Linked DNA regions of Oryzias latipes. The protein of the gene in region 1 purifies or fractionates together with the protein of each later gene. This does not show direct contact. Links are inferred from orthologs where the notes say so. Each region holds a gene or a part of one and is shown in the gene's direction. Other genes may lie near its edges. The genes, in order: sec13, nup98 and nup85.

Region 1 (5,534 bases):
GACCACTCCGGCCCACAGAACATTCATTGAGGCCCGATGCTCTCTGTCCTCATAATAAAACGCCTTATCTGCTCCACTTATGGATTCCTACAAAATAATATTAAAACACAGGACTAAGCTATCTCCTCACAAAGATCTTACTGTGTCGTTTTCTAGTTATTATACATAAACATGTTTGTTTGACGGGACATATTGTAGATGCTGTCATTTTTTAAGTTGAATTGTGACTTTGGTGCATAGATTTAGGCCATGATTAGTCTAACGTTTTATTCTAAAAATACTGTAGAAGTTGTCAACTTTTGGAGATGCCGCCTCTTGTTTTCATATTCTTTATTGAAGCTTCAGTTGTGATTTGATTTTAATAATTGAAATAGTTTGGATTCAAAAGCGTGACATAAACAAATCTTTACAAAGAAATCAACTAAAACAGTTTTAAAGGTTTCGTTCTGTACACAAACACCTGAGTTTAGGATTCGCTTCTTGTTGTACTTCTAAAGTTTGTGTTCAAGTTTCATGATGTGTGTGTAATGAAACTTTTACTTTCACTTCTTTGTCATTTGAATTTTGCACTTTTTAAATGTTAGTAAACTAAATACATCTGCATTTTCAGCAAAATGTAAAAAAAGAACCTTTTAATAACTGTCTTTTCTCCTCTGAGTCTCTGATCAGATTTTAAATTAAAATGTTCATTACTTTAACATTCACTGCTTTATATTCATTACTCAGAGTGTCTTAAACAAACGTTTTGACAAAAGAAATATCTACAATCGAATGACGAGTCAGAGTAAAAAGGGTCTCACTGTCAGAGCTGATGAGCAGCTGATGAGCAGCTGTCTCTTACTTTACCTGAAGTCTTTGTCAGTGGAGGTCATTTTCTCCAACAGGTTGGAGATGTGGTAGGACACGTTAGACATGATGGTTCTTTAACAGCTGACACGGACGCCGATAAATGCTAAATCTGTAGGAAAGCAATGGAACTGGGGAACCAGATTCACCCTGACAACATGGCGAGGCTGGTGGGCAGAAAGCGGAGCTAACCTTAAACCTGACACCCCCAGGGTCAGCTAAAAATACAGCACACTTATTCTGGTTTATGTCTCCCTCGTGTGGACAAACCGAGCATTACAGCCGAGTTCGTTTTGAAATCCTAAACCATGGACTGTAAAGAGAAGTTTTACAGTCTCTGTTTGCCATGAATTTGTTTGAATAACATACAAGGTTGTTTTGTAAATAGATTGTTTTCTGATTTATAACTTTATTTTTTAATTGGCTTTCATGTGTGTGAGTATTGTCCCAAATAAATTTAGATTGTTTAATGTGAAAATATACCTTTTGTTATTTTACAGGAAGATGTTTTGACTCTTCTTTCGTTGCATCAACTTTTTTTTTTTTTTTTTTTTTTTTTTTTTCCTCTTTCGGCTTTTCCCATCAGGGGTCGCCACAGCGAACAAGTCGCATGGTAAACTTGGCAATGTTTTACGCCGGATGCCCTTCCTGACGCAACCTTCTCAAAGCAACCGGGCTTGGGACCGGCACAGATAGACAGAGAGACAGATAGACAGAGAAGGGAACAGGGAGCAGCCCTGTCGTTGCATCAACAGGCTTTGTAAATGTAATTTTGCGTTGTTGTCGTGTAGGCGGAACTTACGTTTCGATTGCGTCACTTCCGCCGGAAGCAAGTCTCGGGCTCTGGAAGCGGTCTGCGGTACTTGTTGCCACGTCGGAGTAGTTTGTAAACCCGGTCGATTCATTGCTAAGCGACCAGAAAACTGTTGAAGGGTTTTTGGGTTAAACAGCAGCGATGGTTGGTTAAAATACTTTATAAAAATGGTTTTAGCATTTCTTAAAAACATCTTTAAAGTTTACGTTTGCCTGCTAAGACTCACAGTTAGCTAGCTCCCGTTAGCCGAAATACTAGCTGACGCGTTAGCACTGCAGATAAAAACAATGATGGTTATTTTTTTTATGAACAGGTCAAATAAAATTCTGCTGTTTCTAATCTATAGGTCTCCGTTATTAACACCGTGGACACCTCCCACGAGGACATGATTGTAAGTGTTTGACCTCCCACTATGCTATCCGTGGATGGATAATTACATTGAATTTGTTTAATATTGTTTCACACGTTTATCCGTTCTTACAATTAAACTTTTACTGTGGTTTGATTACTCTATTTTGGGGCTGTATCGTTATCGTTTGGAACTAATCATTAATATTGATTTATAATTACATTTATCCTTAGGTTTGTTTGTGGGGGAAACGTGTTTTTTCTGTCTGTCTTGTTGTTTTCTTGAAGTTCATCTTGTTCTTTGTGCTTTAATCTCTTTAGAAGAAATGACCCACTTTTATCAGAAAGGCTGGATTTTATTGTGATACTTGTTCCTGAATGATACCCTTAATGATTTTAGAGGGAAACGTTTGCCTAACACATGATCATAGAGACGGGCTTCATTTTAAACGAACATACAAGAAAGACAAACATGTTATCAACCTATCAGAGGTCACAGTGTTCTAAAAGTACGAACACATAACTTTTTGTTGACGAGTCCAGGGACATGCTGTAAAGGTTCATGTGTGTTGTTGTGTGTCTCTGTGATGCACGGGTGAAGTGTCCTGGGTGAACCCTGATGGGATAGGCTCCAGCAACCCTGTAATCCTGAGCGGGATGGATGAATTCCCTTCAACATCAAAATGTTTCATTCTTGATAGCATTGAGGCAGTTGTCTGTTGCATAAAAGCATCTAAATCAACCTCCAGCCCCTGATTTCACTGATGTGAGGATCCTCAATTAAAAATGATTTGTTCTAGTATTAAAAGCGCTGTGCTGTATACACTTAAACACTAGACACGCCTGGCAGTTGCATCCCATCTGCATTCATGCATCTGTAAATCTTCAGGTGAGTTGGATGGGAAGTGATGGCGTGTCTAAATACTCACACGTGTTGAAAAGTTCTCTTCATGTCTTTATTCTGGTTTTAGGAGTTAAATTCTCAGAAATCTTCCCTTTATCCAAATGTAACGACCTGCCTTTCTGCAGTGTTTCTTTCTACCTACTAGTACTAAAGACCTTTGACCTTCACACGCCGATGATGTCACCCTTTCAGCTGGAAGACCACCGCTCTCTAGGTGGTTTTTAAACAGCCTCTTCCTGATCCAGAGGTGCTGTAGATTCAAACGGCTGACATGAAAGGTTTAGATCCAGGAGTTCTGGATTTGTGCCTTCATTTAGTGCCAGTATAATGATTGACATAACCAGCATACGTGTTTCCCTTTCAATCTCAAAATGTCCATTTGAAACATCAGACACATAGAAATGGTTTCACTGGCTGTGAACACATACATGTTTCTGTGTTTCAGCATGACGCTCAGATGGATTATTACGGGACGCGACTCGCCACATGCTCCTCTGACCGCACTGTCAAGATCTTTGATGTCAGGAACGGAGGACAGATTCTAGTGGCAGACCTCCGAGGGTGAGTCATCCTCAGAAAAGTCTTAGTTATCCTCTGTTAAATGCAGTAAAGAACAGCAGGTGGGTGTTCTCCAAGAAGAATAACTTCTAGTTTAATGTTCTTTATGCTGGTATAATACACGCTGACAAATATCGTGAAACACAAACGGCTTTCATCGTGAAAAGTTCATTTCTACTCTGAACTCGCGTGTGAGAGATTTTGTGTTCTTCGTTCAGCCATGAAGGGCCCGTCTGGCAGGTGGCGTGGGCCCACCCCATGTTTGGGAACATCCTGGCCTCCTGCTCCTACGACCGGAAGGTCATCGTCTGGAAGGAGGAGAACGGAGCTTGGGACAAGATGTACGAGTACACGGGACACGAGTCCTCAGGTCAGTAAGGGAATGTTTCCCCTCATCCAGTGTTAGAACTCCAGCTCATTCCATTACAGCTACTCTGTAGGTGTTTATGGTAAATGCCATTTCTTATCCTATTCTCAGTGTTTGTAATTCCACACCAGAGTTAGATTGTGTTTGTTATCATTTTTACTGGTTGTTGTTTGTGTTGCTGTGGAACTTCAGCCGATCCGAAAGCAGGAGAGACGTTCTCCGTGCTTTTGACAGCGGAGACGCCGCCGGCGGCTCGTGCTCTTTGACGAAGCGTAAATCCTCGTCTGTTTCTGCGATCAGCAGGAATCAGCTGAACTGATCGCTTAAGGCCGCTATGCAACACTTCCTGCTTTTGTCTGCGACAGAATCGGCTGACCTCCGCTGATTATGCTGAAGAGCTAGTGGGTAGAATGTAAAAGAAGACCTTTGAAGAGTCACTGTGACCACGGTAAACGGCCGCGTCTTTGTGTTCATGGCGCTGCTGCTGTCGTGTTTGCAGTCAACTCTGTCTGCTGGGGTCCCTATGAGTTCGGCCTCATCCTGGCCTGCGGCAGCTCCGATGGAGCCATTTCCCTCCTCACCCTAACTGGAGATCAGCAGTGGGACGTGAAAAAGATCAGCAACGCACACACTGTGAGTCTGACCCACTACTGCTGGTCCACCGAGAAAGGCCGATTCTGCTCGGGTTGTCCTTTGTGTTTACGGGTCAGTGATCCGGTGTCTGCTGCAGATCGGCTGCAACGCTGTGAGTTGGGCTCCGGCTGTGGTTCCAGGCAGCTTGATAGATCAGCCGTCCGGACAGAAACCGAACTACGTCAAACGCTTCGTCTCCGGAGGCTGCGACAACCTGGTTAAACTCTGGAAGTAAGTTTGAGTTACGCCGGGCCAAAGGTCACAGATTCTGCAAGTTCTGGTCGGTAATGTTCATCAGAACTTCAGCTGCCAGAGACAGAAAGTAGAAAATGAATCCAGGAAATCAGGTGGATTTAGTTCTGAATCATTTATTTGAACAGTGGAGCAGACAATAAGGATTTATTTCCCCTAAACATGAACTCTGACCCCATAAACCCCATACCCACTGTCAAGCATGGTGGTGGAACCATCATGGTTTGGGACCGTCTTTTTACTAAAGGCCCAGGACGACTGATCCGTATGAAGGACAGCATGAATGGAGAGGTTTAGGTCAGAAACCTCCTTCCATCAGTGAGAACATTGAGGATCCTGATGGAGCGTCCAGTAGGATCCTCAAGGTTCCTCATCGCCATGGCAACCAAGGAGCAGGTCCATCAAACCTATTTCAGGTTATGGAGTCTTCCAGCCAGAATCTGGACCTCAGTCCAACAGAGAATCTGTGGAGGGAGATGAAAGTCCTACAGACCTACAGGAGACCTTTGACCTCCGTCACTGGGGTCACATGACAAAGTGTTGAGATGAACTTATTGATCGAATGCTCGTTTCTGCTCCGTGGTAGAACAAAATATTTCAAATCAAAGTGATTTCCTGGATCCTTTTCTGCATCCCGTCTCCCAGTTGAAGCTCTGATGAACATCAGACCGAACAGCTGTTCAGGTGGGATCACCTGCAGACTGACTGATGAGGAACTTTGATGTCCTCTCTGTCTGACCCGCTCCTCCTGCAGGGAGGAGGACGGTCAGTGGAAGGAGGACCAGAAGCTGGAGGCTCACAGTGATTGGGTC
Region 2 (5,434 bases), on another chromosome or scaffold:
CATCACGAATATCCAGGGATTCAGATGCTGATTACAGCCCTAATTATGGCTGCAGCACGAAAGAGTCACATCTGTGCTCTGATTCTCAGGTATCGTCCTGAACCGGGTCGGGTATTACACCATCCCCCCTCTGGAGGATCTGGCTGACATGGTGGATGAAAATGGAGAGTGCATCGTGGAGAACTTCACTGTTGGAAGGAAAGGTAACCACTTCCTGTTCCAGTTCACACTTCCGTGAATCTAACTGGACAACCGCCTCACTGTCGTGTTCTGTCGTTTGGACCCTTTGCGAAGGAGGGTCTAAGGGCAGGGATGCCAGTTTAGTTTAGTCAGTTTGTTTGTTCAATTTAGTATTTTCCTGTTGAATTCTATGTATTCATGATCCTTTTGATTTTATGTTTTACTTTTTCAATTACCGGTACAAAGCCCATCGAGACGACTGTTGTTGTGAATTTTGGCTATACAAAGAAAATTGAATTGAATTGAATTCTGTTTGGCCGGCACAGGTTACGGCTCCATCTTCTTCCCTGGGGAGGTCAATTTGACGAACCTGAACCTTGACGAGGTTGTTCACTTCAGACGCAAAGAGGTCATCGTGTATCCTGATGACAAAAACAAGCCACCAGAGGGGGAGGGGCTTAACAGGTGAGTGACTGGAGGCTGAGAAAAAAAATCTGATAAGATGATTTCAGAGTAAAATGCCTGCAAACTCCACATTAAGCCTGCACAATAATAAGATAAATAAATCCCAAAATTATCGTTATCACCATATCAAGCTGTGCAATATGCATATTGCAAAAGACGGCCAAAATTGCAATAAATGGTTACAATAAATGTGCTAAAACAATCTTATGGGAGCTTGAAGGATTTAGCAAATCAAATAAATCCATCTATGCATTTGACCAATTGGATGAAGCCCTGTATGTTAGATGCTGCCTCCTATGTAGACGAGGGTCATTTGGACTAAAATTTAAGTGATGTTGACTCTTACGTGAAATAAACTGTTGCAGTGAAATTGGATTGATGTATTTAGATGTTTTTCTATTTCTTCATGTATCGTCATCGCAGTAAAAATCAATAATATCCGAAATTGCGAGTTTCACTCAAATCGTGCAGCCCTAGTCCGCGTTCTCCTGAGGAACTCCTCTGTCAGTTGAGGCACCGAGGTTTGAGTTTGTGCTCTGCTTTGATGTTCCCTGAACCTGCTGTTTGCGTCTGCAGACGGGCCGAGGTGACTCTGGACGGCGTCTGGCCCAACGACAAAACCAGCTGCACTCAGATCAGGAGCCCCGAGCGCCTGGCGGACATGAACTACGAGGGCCGGCTGGAGAAGGCGTCCCGCAAACAGGGCGCTCGCTTCCTAGAGTACAGACCAGAGAGTGGGTCTTGGGTATTTGAGGTCAGTCCCCCCCCCCATGGTTCATCCCAATGATTTTTGTCGTGTGTTGAAAGTTTGAAAGAGAAAAGCTGTTTCTGCCGGACATTTGACCATCACAGGGGTTTTAACAAAATGGGAGTCTTGAAACCTTGTCAAGACTTGATCAAGAATTCTTAAGAAGGAAAAAAACGTACTGATGGCGTTTACTGCCAACCATTCACTAATATGAAATCTGAGTTTCCTCTAACGGTTCTCTGGCTTTGGCAGGATTGAAAGCTCACCTGGACTCTGTCTTAACATGCAGAAGATGCAGCACTGCATCAGGAAGTTCTGTTGGTAGATTTAATGACAGCAGAATGTTGGCCACATTTGACCCAGGGGCCAGACTTTGGACATGTCTGGTTTACCTTTAAGATGGAAGAACTGAATGCATGATGTGGGGCCTTAAACAAGCAGTCAGTTTAACCCTTTAACACTGGAGCATTAGCTCCACGGTTGACATTTTGACTCTAGTAACTGTTTATGCAATTGTCGTTATTCCAGCAGATTCTGAAGTGGAGAAAAGCAGTTTTGTGAATCAGCTGATTCTGTCGCAGCTTTAGCCCCTTTTCCGTTGGTTTAAGTTGATTTCTTAAACAGTCGAGGTGTAACTTCATGTCAGAGAGCGGGTTATCTAGGTGAACACACCAGTTTGAACAAACATCACGGGCGCTGACTCCTCCCTCTTCCTCAGGTGAACCATTTCTCCAAGTACGGCCTTCAAGACTCCGATGAAGACGACGACGTCCCGCCTAAGGCAGACCCCAAGAAACTCAAGATGATGTCACTTCCTGCCTCCAAGCTGCAGCCGCTGCTCCCCCCGTCCCAGCAGCAGGTGGCGCCACAGGCTCAGGTAGAGCAGCCTGACACTGAGTTCAGATGAGTCTGATGTTCCTCCTGTAGCGGGTTTGTCGTTTCTGAAGCAGAGTGCACAGATCACAGAAAGACTGCTCTGACGTTTAGACGCTGCACAGATCTGAGTTTCTGCTGATGGTTGAACTGTTGAGGGATGGACCTTCTTAGATGTCAGGTCAGGATTTTGACTTTAAGAGACAGTGAGTGTTTCAGACCTGTGATCTCTGAAGGTCCATTCATGGAGGTCTTTTGGGTCCCTAATAAGTTTTAGAACAAAAGTGATATCAAAGCTGTCTTTAAAATGTTTTAACTTTCTCAAAGATCCGACTGGAATGTTCTGGTTTCCACTTCAATGAACAATGTTTGAATAAAGTTTGAAAAGACGATTGTCACTGTTTTGTCCAGTTTGTTCCTGTGGAGCGTAAAGCTTCTGTGAGTTTTTCCAGTTTTTCTTCCGGGTCATCTGAACCATGGAGACATGAAGCAGTTTCCCAAGGGTTTTATTTTATTTTTTCTGTGCTGCATTTGAACTTTTTATCGTGGTGGGTGTGTCCACACCAGGCCTTCAGAACCCCCCCCCTTCAGGTTCCCTTTAACTGAACTCCAGCGCAGCGTTCTCCAGCAGCTCTGTCGTGGTCGGCTTTCCTCACGCGCTCCTTCTTTCTGTTCAGTCTGTTGACCTCATGAGTGGCGTGGCGGAGTTTGACAGCGACATGGCTGACATCACCCAGAGCAACCTGCCAGAGAGCATGCTGGGAGGTGAGGAGGAGGGCGCTCTGCTGCAGGGGGACATGAATGGAACCAGCCCAAAGCTCGGCGGTTTGGTCTCTGAGGAGCACGACAGCATCTCCGCATCCACACACCTGGCCTCCTCCATGGGGATCAACCCGCACACCCTGCAGGTACAGCCACAGGCCGGTCAGGACGCCTCTCCCACGGTCCGCCTTTGGCTCTAGTGCCAAAGAGGCCGCAGGTTTGAACCCAGATGTGACTAAAGCGTTATCCTGACCAATAATCAGGAAACGGCATTAACAGGTCTCAAGTTTTGGTTCAAAGTAGTTTATCTTCACTCATTAGTTTTCTTCTGCTGCTGCGTCAGCTGGACGTTGGGCTGTTGGCCTGACGCCTCCTCACTGGAAAAGAAGCAGAGCTGACTAATAAAAGTCTGGATCCAGAAATCAATGATTTGAACCCCTTTTCATCAAAAAACAGGCCATCGTCAGACGCCCATGGAGATTAATGCCAGAATGATGGGTTACCATGACTACGTAGATCATGTTGCCGTTCAAAGGAAAAACTCACCGGTTTTCTAGGAGGAGCAGGGGGATTGTTGCCACGGTGACATGGTGGGTTTGTTCTGAGGGTGGATGTTTGTCTGCAGATCATGAAGGCATCTCTGTTTGCTGAGGATGAAGATGAGGGAGACCTTTTCCAGCATCAGGGTGGGATGAAGGTTTCCGCTGACATCTCATCTCCACGCCTCGCCATGCCAGCATCTCTGAGTCGACCCTCTGGTAAGAGCTACACCCCGCCCTCCCAGGGTTGGTTCTGCTGGCGCCCTGGGTCTGATCCTTTTCTCTCTGCAGTTGGTGGACTCTTCCAGACTCGCTTCTCTACTGGTCAGCTCTCTGAGTCGCTCCGCCCTCCCCCTCGAGCGTCTCCAGTGGGACCGGAACCCCCCCGCTCAGTGCAGTGGAAAGGCCTGGGCCCCTCCTCTTTTATGCTCCCCCCTCGAACGACAGAGCCCCCAATCAGGACGGTCGGAGTGCGCCGCTTGGACGGACCTGTCCCTCTGAAAGAGTCCGTCACTCAGGGGAAGGTGGGTACCTGTACTTCATGGAGGACGCCTAAGAGGAGGTGCTGGGGAGGAGCGTCATCTGTGTCTTCTCTGTACAGGGAGGCCTGCTGATGGACGCGGGGCTATTTGCTGGCCGCTCCTTCAGGGTGGGCTGGGGTCCCGGCTGGACGCTGGCCCACTGCGGCAGCAGACTCAGCTCTCCGACATCTGAACCAGGGGCAAGCAGAGACCTGTGCCTGGCCGACTTCAGCTTCCTGCCAAAGGCTGCCCGGACCAAACCGTAAGGCTGCTTGTCCCTCATCTTTAAGCTGCTGTCGACTCACTGCTGTGCACAAATCCTGATCCTGTTCGACGCTGACGCTAAGCATTATGGGAAACTGTCGAAATGACAAGCAAAAATGCAGAAACTCCTTTATGCAGAATAGATTTAGCTATTTTTCTCGTTTGAACTGAGAAGTCTTCAGCTGTGTTCACCTCGCCCTCAGCATTGCGTGATCAAGCCTCCACCTCCAAAGAAAAGTCTATGTAAGCGCACGTAAATGCGCGTTTCAGCGTTCCAATCTCTTGTGTTCATGCTTAAGACCGTTTTCAGCCTTTACATACAAAACCATCGAACAAACGTTAAAAATATAACCATATATGACCAACCAGGGTTTCAAATTTGGTTGATGTCCTTTTTAATTCACAGAAGAGGAGAAATTAATAATTGTGGTTTGTGGTTGCTCCGAATTCTGATGCCAAGTCTTTCAGATATGTAAGAAAGAAAAAGCCTGGAGCAAGACTGACCAGATTTGCCCACTTTTTGCAACAAGCCTCTTCCAACTGTAGGTGGCAACATGGGCTAGTAATGGGCTACATTTGGGTCACACGCCACGTAGCTTTAACCTGAAAATAACAGCAGGAGAAAACACCAAACTGTGGAAACATTAAATAGTCTTTTCTGGAGGGCGCCGGTTCCCACAGAGCGCTGAAGAGAGCAAAGACATCTTTGTGACTCCAAATCCTGATGTTTGGTTTCAGTTTGACAGAAAGTCCGTACAAGGTGGTTCTTGAGCAGCTGGTGGGTCTAGATCCTCTTCAGGGTAAGACCAGTGAGGACGACGAGGACCAGACCGTGCTGCAACGCCCCCTGGAAATCAGCCTGAAGTACAGCACTGTCAGTGTTCCAGACGGGTCCGACTGTCCTCTAGTGAAGCCACGGCCCGGTGTGGACGCGCTGCACGCTTACGCCGAGTGGATCACAGAGCTGGTGGAGAAAGAAGGCGGCGCAGAGCGTGAGTGACAATGTCACAGCTGTAGAAAGGCTCCGCCTCCTACAATGCTCCATCTGACCCTCTGTCCCCCTGCAGCCCTCCTGGGTCACT
Region 3 (5,534 bases), on another chromosome or scaffold:
CAACAAATTCACTAGTCTGTAGACTTCAGTTTGGTTGGGGTGCCACTGAATGGACGTCTTGGTCCTACTTCTTAAGTGTGTTCTTGATGGTGATGGAAGGAATTGACCTTTTGCTCTTCTCATCTTCTGAGGAGAGTCATCCCCTTCTGTTTTTCCTTAATGGGTTTGTGTCCAGGAGGTCTTTTCTCCTCCTTGGTGATGCAAGTTGGGTCACTTCTTCCAGAAGAGGCCATTTTTGCTTCAGTTGAAAAGCTGATGAGGGCTGTGGCCTTCTTCCCAAACTAACACCTGAAATTCTCCTGCAAACCTCTCAGCAGCAGCTTTGTCGGTCCTAGCTACCTCTCCGTGCAAGGCCACTCAAACAGCCTTGGATTCTTCTTCTTCTGTTTTAGCTCCTTCTGCATTTGTACTTCTTTATTTCTTCATACCCTGACTTTCTCGCAGATGAGCTCTGCCTCCGTCTGCCTCTCATCTTCATCTCTGAATAGTTTTCTGACCTCGTTGCTGTTCCCCCGTGGTCATACAGTTCGGCAGGACGCACCTTGAACGTCAGGTGCAGCTCGATGGTTTCTTTCTTTGTTTCAATGCTCAGAGCTTTTCTGACCATTAACACACCTATTGATAGGAACCATTTTTCTTGGGGTTCAACATTCAAAATTTAGAGACTAAGAAAAAAAATTAAGAAGACCTGTCCTCCAATTAAGAAGACCTTTAACTTAAGGAAACACGATCCAAGACACACAACAAGTCACACCTATGTACCTGGATTTAACCATTCTGTTGTACCAGAAAAAAGTTAATTTAATTTATTTATTTACAAAAAAGGTTCGTTTTGTGAGGCAAGTGGGTTGCAATGTTTATCATGCAGATTGTTTGTTCTATAGTTCTTTATGTTTGTCAGAGTGGAAAAATAAAAAGATAAAATACCAGAATTACCAGGGATAGAAACATAATTGTAGGCCGTATGAAAAACAGATGCTAAAAAACACGTATTCATTGTTAAATATTAGTTTCAAGTATTTGAATATTTTATTTTTGGTATCCAGTTGTTATAACCCGTTTTCTTCAACGAGTCAAGCCAAAGTGTTGCAGACTGACTAGAACAGTTTAGTCTAGAGACTAAATACAAACAGTTCGTTTTCTTGTTTATTTTTTCCATTCTGGTGCGTCATTACAAAACACAGACAACTTAATTACCACACAAACACAACGCAAGAAAACCGCAAGATTTATAGAGAACGACACCAGCTGGTTGGCGGGATGTAATCAGCCTAAAAGCGACGTGCGCGCCAGTCCATGCGCGCTCACATACCTTCCGGTCCATCAAAGTAGGTACAGTTGAATCTTATCACTTAACTTTTTTATTTAAAAAAATACGAACAGCACACGCGGGAATGTAAATTCACCTTTAAGATCGGCGATCCAGTTAATTTGTAATAGCATCGTAATTGACAATGGGGTCACTTACCTTTGGTTTTTCATCAGCCATCGTCACTCTTTTGGCGCTTCTCTATGCTACCACACAAAGAATATGAGTGCGCGCACGTACTCGTTCCCGTTTAAATTATTCGGGGAAACGTGCGCGGGCATGTGTCAATGCGCGTTCACTGAACAAGGATTTAATTGGCCGCATGAAGTCACGTGGACTAAAGCGCAGTCTAGTTATGGGCGGGAGACTACCGCCTGCGCGTTACAGAGATACTCGGCTTCACATGCACGCGCACGGCAGAATTTTTCCCTTTTGTTTTTGGTTTAGGTCTATTATATACGAAGGAAATCTGTTCATCGTCACGCCGAAGACTAGTATCAGTGCTGCACGTTTCATAAAGCGCCCATATGATCGGTATTAGATGTACAGCGTGATATATTAGTACTCTCCTTATTTTAACCCCTCATTATAGCCCAGTGGCCATCTTGGTTTTTCTTTCTTTTTTTGTTACAATAAAAAACAGGCACCGACTAAACGACAACATTTACCGATATGGCGATATATTTTCTAAGATAGCTAACTTATATAACGTTTTAATGTATATTAACAATATGATACGATTGTATCTTCCTGATTCTGAGAATATGTTACACGTTTTCGGAATAAAATTACTTCGACTTTTAAATGTATATCGATTCTAAAGATAGTGTTATTTGCTTCAGTCATGTCAGTTTTCTTGACGTAGATTAAAAGTAAAAGAAAGTACTGTACTTGCAAATTTAAAAAAACAAAAAACAAAACAGGCATTAAGTAGGACAGTCCTACATTTGACGCATGCGCGAGATAGTCGTAGAAAAAGAGAGGCGCGCAAGCGTTGCTATATTATAGCACGTGTTAAATGGCATGATTAAGGTGAAAAAGTTCATAGTTTGAAATTTAAAAGGATCTAAAAAGTTTCATCCGATGGAGGAGGTAGACGTTGAACCGACGATAACCGTAAGTCTTTCGTACTATGTAGTTTATTGTTATGCGCTATCGAATAGCAGCTAACAAGTTAGCTAAGCATTTTGAATTTTGTAAATCCTAAAATTCGGAATAAAAAAATACACTAGTAGTTAATGATACAAACACAAAAGTTTATGATGAAATGTTACGGACCGACATTACGAGTTGGAGGTTTCGTAGCTAAAACAATGTCACAGTTGACATGTTCTTGGATATAAAGAAACAAACTTGGAACAATGGTTAGAAAATCAAAATGTAACGTTATTTTTGTCTTCTACGTTTTGTTAAGTTATTTTGTGCTTTGTCAAACAAAGAAAGGTAAGTCTTTTCCTGGACATTTTTGAGTCCAGTCTCTGTCTTAATGTCAAGGTAAATAAATATCCTGTTGCATGTGTCCAATGGATTAAAACTAAGAAAGGCAAAAGAAAACCATAAGAGTGTTGGTTGTAACATTGCAACTAATAGGCAATAAATCGAATGTTGTTTGAAAGCCAGGACATTTTAAAATGATTTTATTTTATTTAAGCTTTGTTTAATAGGGACAGTGCACATTAATGAACATCTACCAAACAATGATTATAGGCGTAAACATGCTGGATTATAGCAATGATGCTAATTTGCATCCCTAGTCCCTAGGCAGGAAACATAAAACAGGACAAAACAAAAGACACAGTCACAGATACAATAAGAACACAAGAAAGTGGTACATTATGAGAGTTAAAAGTCAGTGGTTACAGGACTGGTTTGCTTTCAGCCACTGCTTGAGCTGTGTTTTGAAGGTCTGTAATTATTGACACTCCCTTATGTACAATGGAAGACTGTTCAAGAGTTTACTGGCCTTTACAGAAAGAGCGTTTTGTCCAAAGGCTGTTTTTCTGTGTGGAACCTCACAGTCCCCTCGAGACGAGGCCCTAGTCCTGAGAGCGCTGTGAGACCTTATTTAAAAAAAGTCAGACATGGGAGGCGGAGCAAGTCCATGTAACACCTTGTACATCAAACAAGCGAATTTAAAATTTTTAAAATTCTCAAAGCTCAACAACTTGTACTTTTTCAAGATATTACAAACATGGAATGACATTGGTTTTCTATCTAAGACCTTAAGTGATTGTTTTATAAAGTGATTCTATGGTTTTGCTCGTATTTACACCCGGCAAGGACCAACATGTAATACAGTATTCAATATGTGATAGAATCATTGAATGCAAAAACATTCTAGCAGCTCCAAGTGAATTTTTTTAATATGGCTCTTGAAGCTCAGAGTTGAATCAAGTGTCACACCAAGATACTTAAATTTAGATAGAATTTCTAGTTCCCGTTCTTCCAAAAATATACCTGAATGCTTGATGTCCACTGGTTGCTTAGTGAACATCATACAAACAGTTTTAGTTGTATTTAACAGTAAGCAAGATTTAGAAAGCCATTCATTTACAGGAACCAGAGCTGAGGTAAGAATAGAGGCTGCTTCTTGAATATTTTTTGCGCTAGTGAATATGACAGCATCATCAGCATACATTTGAAATTCAACATTACCACATGTGTTTGGCAGATCATTAATATACATAGAAAACAATAAAGGCCCAAGTATTGATCCCTGTGGTAGACCAACAGGGACATCTAAGAGAGTTGATTTGACACTGTTAATACAATCACACTGTTTTCTGAATTCTGGATATGATTTTATCCACTGAATTGAGTCCATAGAAAAGTTAGACAAAAGAATCTCATGATTCACCGTGTCAAATGCCTTATGATTGTAAAGAACGTACTTTTGCAGGATTTTCAGTAGATATTGATTGAAAGTCTTTTTTTTAAATATAAGGAAACAAAACTTAGTTAGATTGAATCCCAAAAAGCTTTGCTACAAGATAGAAATGGTCAAATAAGCACTTTAGTGATGTTCAATAATGTTCTATTGAATGTTGCAGAGATTATTACAATTGGAAATCTGTGTTATCACTCTCAATACAGAATATTCCTGCACTCAGAAGAGGAAAGCATATGGGCTTTGCATGGGGTCAAGGTAATATCTTTGTCTATGAGACCCTCTTCAAAGCAACAGGTATGTGTTAATTTCAGTTTCAATACTTTCGCAAGTCTTCTTGCTTTGTTTCCTTTCTATTGTCTTGTGTTTCAGGTGCAACAGGATCTGGTTCCCCCTTCATCCATGAAGTCCGGAAAGATGAAGACATCTACTCTCCTATTTTGCGCAAACTCTTTAACGAGTCGCATCACATTTTTGTTGGCTTGCAAACAATCAGGGAGGATCTGCCCAGCAAGAACAAGAAACCTCAGTAAGTCTCCTGATGAGAGACCGCTCAGCTTACACAAATAATTAGTTTTTATTGACATTTTCTTTTTAATTTTTTGATCAGTGGGATGACATAAAGATTGAAAAAGAAAACAGGCAAAACATCAACATGTAACTATTTCATGTCAAACAGTGTTAAAGTAAAAAAAAAAAACAATTCCTGTTTTGCTCTATAGGTTTGTCAGCATCAGTAAAAACTATAGATCTGTTATTCGAGCCTGTATGGAGGAGCTGCAGCAAGTTGCAGGTTAGCTTCTTTAAACTGAATCATGAAGTGTATCTTCGAATCCTACAGTGTAGTTTTTTATAATGGCATGTACTTTTTTGTTTGCAGTTTCCACAAAAAACGCAGAGATGTCCGTACAGTATGGAAACCAGGCACGTGTTTTTATTCTTTAGTTTCATCTTTTCCTTTTTAGAAATTGTGATTAGTTTAATTTTTTAACTTATTAACGTATAATAGTTTTTTTCCTCTTCTTTTTAATCTTTTTACTATTCGTAATATTTTTTTGTTTCCTCGGATGTGGATTTTAGTGGTCTGTAATAAATACAATTCAAATAATTTTGTGTATAATTTGTTCTTAGGAATTAAAAAATGTGTATTTTTTTTAATGATTTTTAAATCAACCAAGCAGACGTCGACTAGTTTTGATGTTATTTCAAACTGCATTTGTGAGATCTTATTATACTAGAAATGTCTTCTGTATGATCTTGAAACAAACTCTTATTCATGTCGGAGCTTGTTTATTTTGGATTTTTGCTTGTCGGTACAAATATAAATCATTACTGATC

The links.
Region 2: the proteins of sec13 (region 1) and nup98 purify together in Homo sapiens (affinity purification with mass spectrometry; 4 studies listed by BioGRID and IntAct, counting the BioPlex papers as one, with this or other methods). This does not show direct contact. The link is inferred for Oryzias latipes from reciprocal best matches to the Homo sapiens genes SEC13 and NUP98.
Region 3: the proteins of sec13 (region 1) and nup85 purify together in Homo sapiens (affinity purification with mass spectrometry; 5 studies listed by BioGRID and IntAct, counting the BioPlex papers as one, with this or other methods). This does not show direct contact. The link is inferred for Oryzias latipes from reciprocal best matches to the Homo sapiens genes SEC13 and NUP85.

Annotation. Positions count from the first base shown.
Region 1 is NC_019863.2:32,814,907-32,820,440, reverse strand, and holds the start of sec13 (protein SEC13 homolog), read left to right. Parts: upstream 1-1,654; 5' UTR 1,655-1,801; coding exon 1,802-1,804; intron 1,805-2,006; coding exon 2,007-2,051; intron 2,052-3,357; coding exon 3,358-3,473; intron 3,474-3,688; coding exon 3,689-3,840; intron 3,841-4,336; coding exon 4,337-4,470; intron 4,471-4,567; coding exon 4,568-4,701; intron 4,702-5,476; coding exon 5,477-5,534. Other genes in the region: cullin-associated NEDD8-dissociated protein 1-like, read right to left, coding at 847-914. UniProt on the Homo sapiens protein: Functions as a component of the nuclear pore complex (NPC) and the COPII coat. At the endoplasmic reticulum, SEC13 is involved in the biogenesis of COPII-coated vesicles.
Region 2 is NC_019872.2:23,871,133-23,876,566, reverse strand, and holds part of nup98 (nuclear pore complex protein Nup98-Nup96), read left to right. Parts: intron 1-89; coding exon 90-203; intron 204-506; coding exon 507-645; intron 646-1,221; coding exon 1,222-1,399; intron 1,400-2,111; coding exon 2,112-2,270; intron 2,271-2,943; coding exon 2,944-3,174; intron 3,175-3,653; coding exon 3,654-3,786; intron 3,787-3,858; coding exon 3,859-4,091; intron 4,092-4,168; coding exon 4,169-4,350; intron 4,351-5,090; coding exon 5,091-5,344; intron 5,345-5,419; coding exon 5,420-5,434. UniProt on the Homo sapiens protein: Plays a role in the nuclear pore complex (NPC) assembly and/or maintenance. NUP98 and NUP96 are involved in the bidirectional transport across the NPC. May anchor NUP153 and TPR to the NPC.
Region 3 is NC_019866.2:13,019,843-13,025,376, reverse strand, and holds the start of nup85 (nuclear pore complex protein Nup85), read left to right. Parts: upstream 1-1,709; 5' UTR 1,710-2,392; coding exon 2,393-2,425; intron 2,426-4,402; coding exon 4,403-4,493; intron 4,494-4,568; coding exon 4,569-4,725; intron 4,726-4,918; coding exon 4,919-4,989; intron 4,990-5,076; coding exon 5,077-5,120; intron 5,121-5,534. Other genes in the region: sumo2 (small ubiquitin-related modifier 2), read right to left, coding at 1,469-1,489. UniProt on the Homo sapiens protein: Essential component of the nuclear pore complex (NPC) that seems to be required for NPC assembly and maintenance. As part of the NPC Nup107-160 subcomplex plays a role in RNA export and in tethering NUP96/Nup98 and NUP153 to the nucleus.